Linked DNA regions of Nothobranchius furzeri. The protein of the gene in region 1 interacts with the protein of each later gene in a biochemical or structural test. Links are inferred from orthologs where the notes say so. Each region holds a gene or a part of one and is shown in the gene's direction. Other genes may lie near its edges.

Region 1 (5,370 bases):
TTAGTTTTAAAAAATCCACTGTAGTAACCACAGGATGTCAGTCTTAAAAATTGCACCTGAAAGGCTGAAATGGGGTGTGAAATCAGACATCATATACATTGATGCTCCGTGGACTGGAACTGCCGTAGCGGCCACCACCATCTTGGATGGGTCTCCATTCGACCCCGGTGCATTTAATACTGAGGAATGCATTTATCCAACTACAAAAAACACATTTAACTATGCTTTTATTTTTTATTTACAAAATCAGACATATTGCATGGTATGATAGCTAAAATATAAATATAATAAAATAAAGCTCTACCTCTACACATTCATATCTATGTGTGAAATATCAATTTATAGTCTTTTCCTGGAAAATGCTAAAAAGAAATAAAAATCTAGTGAAAAAACAATTTAAATTTGTGTTTAAGGAAAAAAATATTGAATATTTTATAGCTATATTCATTTATATTAGCATTAAAAAAGAGCATTAATCAACTGTTCTGCTCTTTATTAGTATGGATATTATCTCATTACACTCACATTGTGTCTTAGGTTTTCTCAGCCTATGGCCCCATCAAAGTAAACAAAACAAAAAACTCCATCATTACCAGACACGTGTATTGAAATGATGATAAAACATTTGCTAATATCAACATGAACAATGCAATTCTCCTTTTTACATTTGGCTTAGATATGCAAACATTTTATGTGCCTTAATGGCATTTTGACCTTATTACTGTGATGCATCCGATGCCCTGACAGATTAAATTGATTTATCCCTTAATAACATCACAGTATGTGTTGTTATAAGAATATGCAATAAAATATCAGGGGTAACAGCATTCTAATTTTAACTTTAATCCGACATTCTCACTGCTCATTCTCTCTTTTGAAGAAAATACAATATCATTCAAGGGTTTTGTGTTATAGTGTTTTGAAGAATCTAAAATTTGATTTATGCATACATTCGGCTGTTTTGATGTAACAAACCAATCCACCCACTAGGGAGCGACAGAAGACTGATAAAGTTAAACCTGTAGCAGCATGTGAGAAATTCACCAATTTCGGTGGTAAATGTTTATTTCCAGAGCAGAAACCTGAATCCACTGTAATAGGACAAATAATTAAAATGTGTGCACGCCAGCTTAATCAGCTGTTTTGGTTTGGTAAAGATGTGCTAAGAAACAGTAAACTCAACAGCCCACCCAGAAGTATTCGCTAAAACTGGATGCTGGAACTTTTTTGCTGTTCCACCTGCTGTGAGACAGATGAACTCGTGCTGCCTGCCACACACACAGCCGAAGAGCTGGGAGATTAGTTTGCAAATCAAAAGAGTAGCAAAAACACACGGTTCCATCAGCTTGCAGCATTGAGTCATTTATGTTGTCATGTGTGTCCCTGTGCTGAATCACAATGAGTGGGCAAGACAAACGTCTATCAAAAGTTAATAGTTTATAAGACCAAACAGCTGCAACCCCAAACACATCTTATTAAAAACCATGATTTTGCTTCAATAATAAACACAAAACATGAGTGTGTTGATGATAAATAGTGTCTGTACTCATTGTCTTCTGTGGGGTCAGCACTCCTACTGAATTGCTCCAATATGAGTTTTTATTCCCCCTCAAACATTTAAAGCAACAGATGTTTAAATGTAAACAAAGACAGAGCGTGTGTACTTTTAATTCGCTATGACGGCAAACCTTGATGTGTACAAACTTTCTGGATTGTTTAATCAGAGATTCCGTGTATCAGCTCCAAACTGATTTCATTTTCTTTCTGGAGGAAAACTGAATAAATCAATAAAAAAATAAACAGATACAATAAATAACAGTTTTTAATGACTCAACCACACTCTGTTCATATAGGCTGATCTTTGAGTGTGTAGAACAGATAACTTTATTTGCCACTGAATGAAGGAATAGAAAGCAAAGACCGCGCGCGCGCCAGTGTGTGTGTGCCTCCGCGCGCGTGCCCCCTACCCCAGCCCCCCTCTACAGGACAGCCAGCCCGTCTAGAGTTATTCCAGGAATGTGTTGAACACTGAACATGGCCGCCGCGATGAAGGCGCAGAAAACGGGACTCCTGGAACTTCGGTTGAGCGTGGACCGCTGGGTCCGGGTGTTGGCGACACTTACCGAGGACACACTCACCGTCAACCCCGGAGAAGGCGTCGAGGAGCCCGCGAAGCCGGCTCCGAGTCCCGCAGGTGCTGTCAACGGAGACCCCCCGAACCTCAGCTCGTCCTCGGTCCCGGAAACCATCACCAACGTGAAGCGCACCGTTCGCATTACCAAGCAAGATGTGGGAGGACTGGGAATTAGTATCAAAGGTAAACTATCTTCCTGTGGTTACACTAATAATATGAAGTACTATTTAGGTGAGTTAGGCTTCATAGTTTTGCACAGTTAACTATCATCAAAAAGTATCAAAGTATCAAAAACAGCAATTAAATGTAACTTTTGAAAGTTTTATGGTCAGAATGTTGCTTTTTTAAGAGCTGCAAGTTAGTTAATCTGCAGTCATTTGTTTATTTATACTCACAAAATAAAAAAAAAATAAAAAAGACAGCTGTGACTTTTTTCCAGTTTTGCAGAAGTGGCTGTACCCTGTTAGGCTGGATGGGACTTCACCACCAACCTGATTAAATTCCCAAACAGTTTTTATAATAAAAGAAAGTAAACTTTACGTATTCACAGATAGACATGCTTATTTAACTCCTATATTAATGAGAGAAACTTGAATATTTTTGACACAAAATTACACTAAAAAGGTTTTCTGATGATGAGGCAGAAAAACAAGAAACAAAACGAGCAGAAATGCACCAATTCTGATTTTGTGAACCAATACAGATTTCTGATGTTGTACATGTGATCAGGCGATACTTATTTTGGCAGATTTAGATTTCTCAAAGTACTATAATTACCAGATTTACTATTATTATTTAAAATGATTAACATGAAATATATAATTAAAAAAAAATCACTCCACATGGAAGATCTGGTTTTTCTTGAGTGAATTAATGCTTACCCGGGTTTTTCACCAGATGCGTAAGCGGCACATAACGTAATGGATGCGTGTTCCCTGCGCCTCTTCCCACCAGGAGCATTTCAAACTGACAGCAAAAGTGTTTCACACAGCTGGTCCCACAAGGTCAAGAAGGCAACAGAGAATTGTAAGACCACGCATGATTTCAGCAGTTCACGTGATAACAAGCAAAGAAAAAAAGATGTCAGCTTGTATCCAAAAGGTCTGCGGTTTATTTTCTGATTGCCTTTACCTTGGCCAGTGGCCACACAGGTTTCACAGGTAATGATGTATTTCTTTTAAGCAAGTGGAATTCTGTATGAGTCTTTTATTTTGAAAGTTTCCTGTTTTTTACATGGCTTTCATGTTTGACTTCCTGTCTGGCCTGATCTGAAATGTTGAACTTGACAAAAAGTAGACCCAAAGCATAAATCTAGCAAAGAGACGAGACACAACGCTTCTGTAACGCTTTCAAGGCGTGTCGCTTTGTCGCCGGTGGAAGCAAAGTAGCTTGTGCTTTTCGGATTTTACGCAAAACTTGCGCATTTGGTGGAAAACCGAGGTTTGTGTTTGTGCATTTATGGGCTGGAAAAATGTTTAGATTTTGCAACCTTTGTTCCAAAAAATGAATCAGTCTCTTCTTGAGTTTCAGATTAGCTGATCACAAATTAAGCTGGTATCACTGAGTAGCTGTTGACCGATACTGACGATTGTTTTAGTGCATATCTTAAACAAGGGTATGTACTGTATATCTGAAAGGCCATTGTAATAAACAGTAATCCAAATACCGTCCAAAACTGAAAATTGACTTTTTGCTTGGTTGTAATAAAAAAAGTAAGTTGACTTGCTGGACATGCAAATTGATGCTATTTAAACTAAAACATGAACAAAAAATAAAATAAAGTGAATTAGAATATTCTCTCACCCCTCCCCTCGACTACAGTCCCTGTAAAAAAAAAAAAAAAAAAAAAAAAAAAACTACCGCCCCTGTGCCACGTCTGCCATAACTAGAAATCCACACTCCCGGAAGAAAAAAGAGTGTCGCAGTTTTTTAGGTCCAAACGTCTTTAGTTGTCCATGAGTTCAAATGGTGTGTATCTTTTTGGGACTCTGGTAGTTTGTTTATGTTTATGTTTATTTAGTTAGCAGACGCTTTTATCCAAAGCGACTTACAATTTATAACCTGTAGGGCATGTTGTGATCTGTGGGAGAAACCGGAGTACCCAGAGGAAACCCACACATGCATGGGGAGAACACGCAACTCCATGCAGAACGGCCGCAACCGAGTTTTGAACCTGCAACCTTCATGCTGCGAGGCAACAGTGCTAACAACTGTGCCACCATGCAGCCCAGTTTGTTCTAAAGTTGAAGTGGTATGCCAGACAATGCCCGCACTGCCTGCTCACCACAGCCATGGAATACACCCCATCAACACACAACACTATATTGGAGCCGGCGGAGGGAGGCTAGGGGTCTAAGCACACCTTTGTTGTTGCTTGGCTTCCTGGGGCTGGAGGCTAGGAAGGAGATCTGGGCGTCCGGTTGGGGTCTGGGGTGGTGGGTTGCTGTGCTCAGCATTGGGCGGGGGAACCTGCTCATCAGTACCCCAGCAGAAAGGGTCAAACTCTGGTAACCGGTAATGGTTGTACCCAATGTGCAGCAGTACCAGGACCAGAGTGAATAGTGTGTGTATGGGGAGCATGAGTGGGTGTCCGGCGTGCATTTTTGTAAGTCTTTGGTTGTATGTGCATGTGTGAGCATGAGGGAGGGAGTGTGTGACTGTGTTTGTGTATGACTGTATATGTCAGGTGGGGCCTTTGACTCCTCTGTTCTCCTGCGACTTCTTTTTATGATATAGATCTTCGTCTCCCCTCCCCCTGCCACACCTGGTGTGGGGTGTGGTGCCTTGGTCTGCCTGAGTGTTCGTGGCTGCCGGGTCAGGGGGTTTAAGATCTTTGGCATCTGCCTGGTCAATCCCGGTGGCTGCCTGGTGGGGTCTGGGTCCCTGGGCTCTGCTGGGTCCCCGGCGGGGGTGGTCGCCCCTGGGTCCCGGGTCGCTGGGTCCCAGGCTTGGCCGGCTAGGGGGTGGGAGGCTGCGGGCGGGCCTGTGGGCTTGCCGCTGAGATCTCCAGGGGCTCTGCCGGCTGCTGGTTGTGGCCCCCCGGGGCGACCCTCTGTGCCTCTCGAGTTGGCGGGGGCCTTTCTGGTTGCAGTCTCCTTGGGGTTCCTGTGTTCCGGGGCAGCGCCTGGATCTCTGGGACTTGGAGCTCCCCCCGTCTCTTACGCATCTTTGGGGGGCAGATCTGTGGTCCCTCACACTCTCTATTGGACGCTCCTATAGATAAACCTTACATAAAC
Region 2 (4,783 bases), on another chromosome or scaffold:
TTCACTTTACATCTGTCTTCAAATCTAGACATCTTTTAATCATTTTATTTCAAATTCCAGGAAAAAAAATATTGCTTGAGTTAATGTCACCAAGACACGATAAACATGTTTCTGCAACTTTAAAAGAAGTTATCTAAACTTTTCATAGCGTATTTCTGAGTTCTGTTGATTTTCTTAATTGGAAATGGGTTCTTTTTAAAAGAATAAAAGAAACAAACCATCTTCTCTTGTATTTTCTTTTCAAATAACACAGATGAAGAATTTATAGAAAAATGCATTGACTTTTTACTCTTGTCCTTCAGTCAGAGACCGCGTGAGGACCAAGATGGAGAGAAACATCCTTGCAGACGTCAACCACCCATTTGTTGTCAAGCTGCACTACGGTGAGCCAGCTCGCTGTATTAAAATCACTTAAACAGAGATAATAATATTACTGTTTGAGTTTTAACGTTAAGATCTGAGCTGTGCATGCTTGATGATTTATATTTGAATATTCATCTGTAGCATTCCAGACTGAAGGGAAGTTATACTTGATCTTGGATTTTCTCAGAGGTGGAGATCTTTTCACACGGCTCTCTAAAGAGGTAAAGGGGAATCCCTAAAAGCACAGTCTGTAATATATTTACTTATTTACTATAAAATTGTCCTTTTTTATTAATATTTCTCATCAATATCTGTTTTATTTATTCCTATTAGCGTAAAATTTTACATTTTTACATACATAAGCTGTAGTTGACCCTCCATTGTCAAGCGCCATCTTGAAATACAGGAGCTCCTTACGGACATAAAAGATATAATGCTCTGCATTTCACGTTTGCGCTTTGGCATGGCCTTTTTGATGTGTGTGGGCTACCGTAGATGCAATACCTACCCTGAACTGCGTTTCGCTAAAGAGTTGAATTGTTTTTACTGACTGGGGCTTTAAATTAAAAAATGAACCATCTATTTTGTCTGATCTGTTTGGTACAACTTTTTATCACTTGTATGATTTACTCCTAGGTGATGTTCACAGAAGAGGATGTGAAGTTTTATCTGGCCGAGCTGGCTTTAGGACTGGACCATCTCCACAGCCTGGGCATCATTTACAGAGACCTCAAACCTGAAAAGTAAAAACACGTTTTCCCACTAAAGCAGAAATTTTCTCCACTACAGATTAAATGAATATACAGTTTGGTCTTTCACAGCATTCTCCTGGATGAGGAGGGTCATATCAAACTCACAGGTGAGTCTACTGTTCTCACACACACACACTCTTAAATCTCCTCTGCCCCGTTGACCTTCATTACTCATCGCTCCATGACAGCTTTATCTTTCTGACTGCACATATCTCCATACAGGCCCAGTGCTTGTTCCCTCACATTAATTATTACTCTTTATCTTATCTCCATTACGAGCCTTTGATCCCAAGGTGACCCTCTGGAAGTTCAGACATGAAATACCCATGATGAAGTGCTTCTGTTGTTTAACGCAACACGCGTATGTTGATATTGTGGGACTGAGCTTTGTGTTTCTGTTCCGCGCAGATTTTGGTTTGTGCAAAGAAGCCATCGACCATGAAAAGAAAGCGTACTCCTTCTGTGGTACTGTAGAGTACATGGCTCCGGAGGTGGTGAACAGGCAGGGTCACATTCACAGCGCCGACTGGTGGTCGTTTGGAGTACTGATGGTGAGAAGAATTTATTATTTCAAGTTGTTCGTTTTAGGGACGCTCCGATTCGTTTTTTGGAAGGATCGGAATCAGGAGAAATAAATTGGATAAAACAACAAACATGACTTTTTAATTTCATCCTGAGATAGAGATTTTCAAACTGAATAAAAATGGTTTTGTTTTCATTTCAATAAGTCCCTCTATATCAATATTTGTTTCTTGTACGAAAACAACACAGTAACGTCACACAATTTATGGCAGGCAAGGACTCGGACACCAAGCAAGCTAACGTGTCCCCTCAGGAGAGCTAAAATATCTGCAGCTTGGCGTTAGTTTAAACCAGACAGCCAAGGCAGAGCTACAGACACTTGTCATGTGTGCATACTGAGCGTTCAACATGCTGGTAAGGACAGCTCCATGGTTCGCTGCCTTCAAACAAGCTACTTTTGCTGTTAGCTTTTGCCTTTGGGCATCAACAAAGCAAATCACTGGTCGCCATTAATCCCCAGTTTGCCTCTAACACAGTTCTCAGTGAAGTCAGACCAAAACACGGAGCCAGCTGACAGAGAAAGTTACGCTAATAAACAAAGAAATTGTCAACAGACTGCAAAACATCGGGGTTTCTAGTAGAGTTGTGAATCTTAGAGCAACTCACGATTTGATTCGATTGCGATTCTTGGGGTGCCGATTCGATTCAGAATCGATTCTCGGTTCTCAATTTAAATCGATTCACAATCAGTATTAACTAAGAGTGTCAGCTCCAGGGTGAACTACTTTGATGTACAAGTTAGTTAAAGCTATGGGACATTTTTATCTGACTTCAAACTGGTCATGCTCCAAAAATGTAAAAGTGATTCTAAAACTGTAAACAGAAGCAATCTTTTGACCAAAAGGCAACATTTATTTTTGCTTACCTTGTAAAATATAACAAATCTGTAGTTACCTAACAGTAGCTTTGAAAGTAATACGGTCAAATACTATGTGTAGAAACAAGTTACATGAGTAATCCTGAGTACTCATTTATCAACTTAGAAATTTGAGATATTCTCATATTTATTTTCTGAGTATGGAAAAAATTACATTCAAGTGCCCTCTTATCAGCAGATTCAAACATAAATCATCTCAATTTATGGGACCACAAAAGTAAACGGAGTACTGACTCTCCTAACAAAGATCAAAAAAGTGCATCTCAAACCTGTAACATGCCAAATATTTGAGTTCTTGGAATCGATTCTGAATCTTTATAAATAAGAATCCTGATTCAGACCTGAATCGATTTTTTTCAGCACCTCTAGTTTCTAGTTCTCCTGCAGCACCGGTGCTCAATACGCCCCGTCAAGTTTTTAATCCGTGTACTTCCTAAAAAAAATGAAAGTGAAACTTAAAGGACAGTTTGGGTGTTTTCTTCCTACTTTAATGCTTTCTTGACCCCCCCCCCCCCCCATCCCTAGTTCATTTAGTTCTTTAAATAACTGAAGTTCTCTCTCCGTTAGTTTGAGATGCTGACAGGAGCACTTCCGTTTCAAGGGAAGGACCGAAAAGAAACTATGAACCTGATTTTAAAGTAAGTAAAAACACTGGAATAAAAGAAACATGATGGTGGCCATATTGAAATCTTTGCTCTGTCTAAACACAGGGCGCGCTTAGGAATGCCTCAGTTCCTGAGTGTCGAGGCCCAGTCGCTGCTCAGGGCTTTGTTCAAGAGGAACCCTGTCAACAGACTGGGTCGGTGTCAACTCTTTAAGTAATGATTTAAACAGTTTTACAAAAAAGATTCAACAACGCAAAATATCATCCATGTAGGATCGGGAGCTGATGGTGCAGAGGAGATCAAACGCCACGGTTTTTTCTCCACTATAGACTGGAACGTGAGTTTCTGGTTTCAATTTTATTTGTGATCATTTTTTAAATAAAAGGATCTGTTGAAAATTTAAAACATCTTTTTTTACATTTTTTAGTAAAAGTTGGTTCATTTTGCTTTCAGAAACTCTTCAGAAGGGAAGTAAAACCCCCGTTCAGGCCAGCTGTAGCACGTCCAGATGACACCTTTTACTTCGACTCCGAGTTCACATCCCGCACACCGAAAGGTCAGAGGTCAAAGTGCTGTAAACAGTAGATTATTTTCTCTCTATAGCTTTTCTTTCATTAGACTGATGTTTTTTTTTTTTTTTTTTTTGTTCTTTAAGACTCTCCTGGCGTGCCTCCCAGTGCTGGAGCTCATCAGCTATTCAGAGGATTCAGCTTTGTTGCATCAAATCTGTTGGATGAAGAAGGTTTAGTGGAGCCAGTGCAGCCCACACCACACCCCGTGGTCCAGGTCCGCTGTTAATCACACGTGATACATGTCTGTGTCAATATAAGCTCAAAAGGTTATAGCAGCCCACAAGTACCAGTATTTTCCTGCCTGATGTAGATTTAGAGACACCAGAGAGGAAGTGCTCCCACAGATAAATCCAGCGTCACCGTCATCCGCCCTCGTCAGCCTGTCACTCCTCCGCCTCTCTTCAAACTTTCATCTCCCTTTTTTCCGCAGCAGCTTCATGGAAAGAACCTTCTGTTCAATGACGGGTACATACTCAAGGAGGACATAGGCATGGGCTCCTTCTCTGTCTGTAAGCGATGTGTCCACAAAACCACCAACACCGAGTATGCTGTCAAGGTATGAATAGACCCGAGGAAAGCCTGTCACGTACAGAAAAGAGCAGTGAAATTTCAGCAAAGAGCTTGTAAGGCTTTGTTTTGTACTTTCAAGTTTTGGCTTATTACTTTAAGACCAAGTTCACTTGTTTTTTCAGCACATCTGCAGTGGTCTATAGTATAAATAAATGCCTTATGAGTCGATCTCTGTGGAGGAAAAACCCTCTGGTGCTCATGTTTCAGGAAGTAGAAGTTAGCCAGAGGATTGAGGAGCAGAACACGGCAGGATTTGAAGTCTTCTATCCCTGATGTCAGGGCGTCTTACCTCTGATTGGCTAACAGCAACGCAACTCTACCACTGACTCTTTTTGCTTTGCAAAGTTGATGTTTTATCTCCACAAATAACACAAGCCTGGAGGAGTTTTGCCATGTTATGGAATTGCTGATGCTAACTGTTAGCTCCTACTAGCCGAGACGTGCTCTACTCTCTCCTGGATG
Region 3 (4,783 bases), on another chromosome or scaffold:
GCTGCGTATCTTTTCACTCCTCCAGTCACGGGAGAATTAAACGTTCATATTTTTAGAGTTTTTTCGCGAGGTATTCTTCAAGCTTCTCCGTGTCTGCCGCTAGTTATCCTCGGCTCTCTTTGCAATGGCGGCGCTGTAAACAACAGCGGCGGCCTGACCAATCACAAGCTTGCGTAATCCGTCTCGTTTGACGGATGTTTAAAAAAGTGGGCTCGACTCCGTACGTACTTGCATGCCTGCCGGAGCCCTACGCAAGGACGGATAATGGCGTTGCATGTCTCCGCACTGACGCAGACGGAGAAGCATAAATCAGGCTTTAGCGGTTGTAGTCCTGTAGTCCATAAATCAACAATTTTTGGAGAAAAAATTTTTGAATTTCCAAAGGAAATGTGAAATAAAAGCAAACGATAAACGGTGACCATCAAAAGCTCTTGATGTTGATGAAATGGGGCAAAATAAAATATAAGAATTTTATTAAAAGACACCAAGCAACATTTTGAATCAAAGAATGTATTTACACAACTAAGGAAATACACAGACGAACTCCACATTAATACAAACAGATGTGGCTTCACGTATAAGAACTGTTGTCTTTTTTTGTCAGTCCGATGTTGGTTTTATGCAGTTTCACATTCTTTACAAAACAAAGATAATATGGTGTTTTATTAACAAATTACAATTATAAAGAAAACATGTAGGTGTTAACAAACAAGAATTTATTAACAAAACTGCTGATGTTTTTCCAAAACGTATGTGTGAAAGCCGAGTAGATTCGCAGTACAGTGACGTCATCAGCGGGCGCTGGACCCCGAGCCGATCTGGCACCCGAGCAGATCCTGTTCATCTGATAAAGGACTTCTCGCTTTCTTCAGTGGATCTGCCATTGCCCAGTTCTCTGAACCACGGGTCTCCCACAGACATGTAGACGTAGACGCCCCATGGACTGGCGCTGCCATAGTGGCCAGCCGCCATTTTCGATGGGTCTCCATTCGCCACGAGTGCATTGATTTCTCCTGAGAAAGGTGCTTACCCAACTATTTTATCAAGCTTTTTCACAAAATCAGACACAAGGTATGCCATGATAATTCAAATATAAATATAATATTAAAAATGTATTTAAATATAAAATCCTATCAGGTAGGCTAGAAAACTCACTAGTAATCCCACGTGATCTGTTTTCAGTTGTACGCCGGTTGTTGTAACTGTAGGCTGCATAAAAACGGGCATAGTTGCTCACTTTGCTTTGACTTTGGAGAGTGAGGAGACCCATCCAACATGGCTGTTACGTTCTCCAATGCCCAATTAGGTGTCTACATATTCATGTCTACGGAGTGTATGTTTGCGCAGTCAGTACTTCTGGCGGTGGACCGCTAGTCAAACACTGTATATTGCGGTAAACAGACGTGGGACCTCATAGCACTATCACAGCTCTGAAAATGAATATAGTAGATATCCCACCAAAACCTTTAAGTGTAAAAGTTGTGAAATGTGTCTTTAATCCATTTTTAGTGGTCTAGTGTATAAAATGTTTCCTGGATGGGAAAAAAATACTCTGGTGCTCCTGTTTCAGGAGCTAAAAGTGAGCCAGAGCAAAGGTGAACAGAACATAGCAATACTTTTCTATTTGACGTGCAATCGACTGGCTTTTGTAGTCCAAGTGTTACCCTGTCAATTTTCTGTCGCGGCTGTTGTGGAATTTTTAATGAAGCAAAATGAAAGCAGTCTATGATTCTATCAAAAATTTAGTTTCAATATTGCAATATCAAAAATGAGGAAACTGTCCAGAGATTCTTCCCAAAGCAGCCCCAGGAGTGCCTCCTCCCAGCAGGGAGTTCACACTGTGTTTATACTCTTGCTGCCATTCCTTCTTGAACCCCCAAAGAGAGAGAGCAAAAATTTGTCTTACAGTGTTGTCTATTAGAGGAAGGGGTGAACGTCTTAGAAAAGGGGGCTGCATCCAAGGGAAAATGAGCAACACACATACCCCACCCGCAGCCATGCCGTGGCCGAGCCATCGTGAGACAGAACGTTTAAAGCGGTCGCAACACCCACCTTCTCTGACCCCACATATACAATTGTTTTTAAAAAATAAGTAGAAGGATCGAATTTTCTCCCCTTTTGATTATTCATGTACATGGCTAATGTCAGAAATAAGGGTAGAATACTATTTTCTCATTTAGCCTGCATGTGAAACTTTCAAAAATAACAAGCAAAAACGATTTCTCAGTGAACTTTGTCTTTAAAAAAACATGTTCCTAGTCATTCAATAAAACACGATCTTACTAAATAATCAATCTCGGATTTTCCTTCCACATATCAAATGTTGTTAAAATACTCATAGACATTTACCATGTCTCTCTGGCAGTGAAATCCGACAACAAGGACAAGCAGGAGAAGGCAGACATAACGTCTGGCAAGGTAGACAAGATCGACACCTCTGACAAGAAAGAAGAGCAGCAGAAGAAAGAGACTAACACCGACGTAAATAAGACACCCGAGAACATCCTCAAAAAGGAAGAAAAGGTGGAGAAGATAAACGACAAGGAGAAAACCGATAAGCCGGAGAAAGTGGACAAGCCGGAGAAGACGAACAAAGACGAGAAGGAGGAGAAGGAGGAGAAGAAGGTGGCCGAGAAGGACGATAAGGGGGGAAAAGGTACAGCCAAGTCTCCTACAGGCAACGGCAGCAAGACTCTGCCAAGTCCTGACAGCAAGGGCAAGGTCAGTGTGTCTGAATCACACACACACACACACACACACACACACACACACACACAGTGCTCTCAGCACACCCATCCTACATTCAGTGGTTACAGAAATGGTTTAATCACTCCAAGGCTTCTACAACAGTAATACTTTTGTATTTATATAGTAAAGGTTCATGGACACCTTTTGCATTTCTTTTTGTGCTGATTTAGTGTTTTTGCTGGATCTTCTCTAGCGTGTGAATTGAACCTTACTTCCTGTCCATGTTTGAGTTGCAAACTGCTTCTCTCTTTTTTTATTTGATACTTTTGTGACTTACTTCTCATTAGCTCTCTACTCTGAAGTGATCATTAAATGTGTTCATTTATGACCTGTTGTATGATTGCCATACGTTTGCAGGTGTTGCGGCCATATCATGCTGTCATTGCTGTGATTTCATTGCTGCTTTTTTCTCTCTTTTCCTCCTCCTTCGTCTTTTGTTTTCCTTCTCTTTTTGATTATTTCCCATTAATTATTGCTGTTATGGCTTGTTTTACTTTCATTCATCAACCAGCCCGATGTGGGTTCAACCAAAACAAACGCAGCCAAATCGCGTCCATCCAACCTCTCCACCAATAATGAGGCCAACTCGGCCAAACGCCCCTCCCCCACTACAGCCAATAAAAAAAGTCCTGCACCCAAGGCAACTACTCCTACTGCTGCCAAGCGGCTGCCAGCAGCAGCTGCGTCCAACAAGGCTGCCAAGGTGAGTTTACAACACAGTTGTTCTATTGTGTGGAAACAGGAAGTTCAGACAGTCTCATTCTGTGAAGACTTGAACAAAATCCAATCCTATGAATGTCCTTGTTGGGACACAGTTTTGCATTTTCTAAATGCTTTGGTGCACGTTTTAGGAATTCTCAGGTCTCAGGTGTTGGCCATCAGACTATAGAGAAAAAAGCCTCAGGTTTGATTCAGAAACCCATCAAAATTCTGACTAAGCAGTGTCAGGATCAAGGTTCTAGATCAAGGTCAAGATCCTGGTTCTGGTCTATAGGGCCCTATATGGACAAGCACCATCTTACATTGGTGATCTTCTTAGTCCCTACACCCCCAGCAGGTCCCTGAGGTCCAGTGATCAAAGCCTACTGGTTGTGCCATGAAGAAGCTACAACGACGTTCTGCTGAGCTGTGGTGGCCTCATAGAGGGGGCCATCGACTAGCACACTGCTGCTAACCACTTAAACATTCTCCCTCTCCTGATAATAACACTTTACTTTTCTTGACATTGGATGTGCTACTGCTAGTTTATCCGTTTAATTATAGATTCACGAGGAAAAATACAAATGAAGTTTATCTTTCACCAAATAGAATATTTACTAAGACATCACAATATAACTATAGACGCATTACTAGTCTTTGTGAGTGTGCGTGAGTGTGCGTGTGTGTGCGTGCGCGTGTGTGTGTGTGTGTGTGTGTGTGTGTGTGTGTGTGTGTGTGTGTGTGTGTGTGTGTGTGTGTGTGTGTGTGTGTGTGTGTGTGTGTGTGTGTGTGTGTGTGTGTGTGTGTGTGTGTGTCTGCTCTGTCTTCTCGATCCCCAGTGAGTCGTGGTGGATGGCTGCTTATACTGAGTCGGGATTCTCTGGAGGTTTCTTCCTGTTAAAAGGGAGTTTTCCTCTCCACTGTCGCTTTATGTTTGCTTAGTATGAGGATTGCTGTATAGTCACTGACACTAGTCAGTGACTTGATGCAATTTGCTGGGTTCCTTATATAGGAAAAATTATTTCTGATTGGCCTAATGAACTGACCTGAATTGGAATGTTTATTATGTGAAGTGCCTTGAGACGACTCTTGTCGTGATTTGGCGCTATATAAATAAACTTGAATTGAATTGAATTGAATTGTGCAACACCAGGCTAAAGACCAAAGGTGACAGATCATTTGCTGCTGTGGCCTCCAGACTCTGGAACTCTCTCCCCCTGAGCCTGAGATCGGTGGACTCAGTGGTCTCCTTCAAAAAGCAGCTGAAGACTCACTTGTTCAAGCTGGCTTTTGTATGACCTTCTTCACCACTCTCTCTTTATTCTGCTCTCCCCAC

What was found.
Region 2: the proteins of snta1 (region 1) and rps6ka1 interact in a test that uses a peptide from one of them, tested with the Homo sapiens proteins (2 studies listed by BioGRID and IntAct, with this or other methods). The link is inferred for Nothobranchius furzeri from reciprocal best matches to the Homo sapiens genes SNTA1 and RPS6KA1.
Region 3: the proteins of snta1 (region 1) and microtubule-associated protein 4 interact in a test that uses a peptide from one of them, tested with the Homo sapiens proteins (2 studies listed by BioGRID and IntAct). The link is inferred for Nothobranchius furzeri from reciprocal best matches to the Homo sapiens genes SNTA1 and MAP4.

What each region holds. Positions count from the first base shown.
Region 1 is NC_091743.1:60,373,869-60,379,238, forward strand, and holds the start of snta1 (alpha-1-syntrophin), read left to right. Parts: upstream 1-1,986; 5' UTR 1,987-2,034; coding exon 2,035-2,317; intron 2,318-5,370. UniProt on the Homo sapiens protein: Adapter protein that binds to and probably organizes the subcellular localization of a variety of membrane proteins. May link various receptors to the actin cytoskeleton and the extracellular matrix via the dystrophin glycoprotein complex.
Region 2 is NC_091758.1:28,123,380-28,128,162, reverse strand, and holds part of rps6ka1 (ribosomal protein S6 kinase alpha-1), read left to right. Parts: intron 1-302; coding exon 303-383; intron 384-504; coding exon 505-584; intron 585-999; coding exon 1,000-1,106; intron 1,107-1,184; coding exon 1,185-1,222; intron 1,223-1,523; coding exon 1,524-1,666; intron 1,667-3,141; coding exon 3,142-3,212; intron 3,213-3,284; coding exon 3,285-3,373; intron 3,374-3,451; coding exon 3,452-3,516; intron 3,517-3,632; coding exon 3,633-3,735; intron 3,736-3,834; coding exon 3,835-3,965; intron 3,966-4,181; coding exon 4,182-4,307; intron 4,308-4,783. UniProt on the Homo sapiens protein: Serine/threonine-protein kinase that acts downstream of ERK (MAPK1/ERK2 and MAPK3/ERK1) signaling and mediates mitogenic and stress-induced activation of the transcription factors CREB1, ETV1/ER81 and NR4A1/NUR77, regulates translation through RPS6 and EIF4B phosphorylation, and mediates cellular proliferation, survival, and differentiation by modulating mTOR signaling and repressing pro-apoptotic function of BAD and DAPK1.
Region 3 is NC_091751.1:59,304,718-59,309,500, reverse strand, and holds part of microtubule-associated protein 4, read left to right. Parts: intron 1-2,365; coding exon 2,366-2,721; intron 2,722-3,259; coding exon 3,260-3,451; intron 3,452-4,783. UniProt on the Homo sapiens protein: Non-neuronal microtubule-associated protein. Promotes microtubule assembly.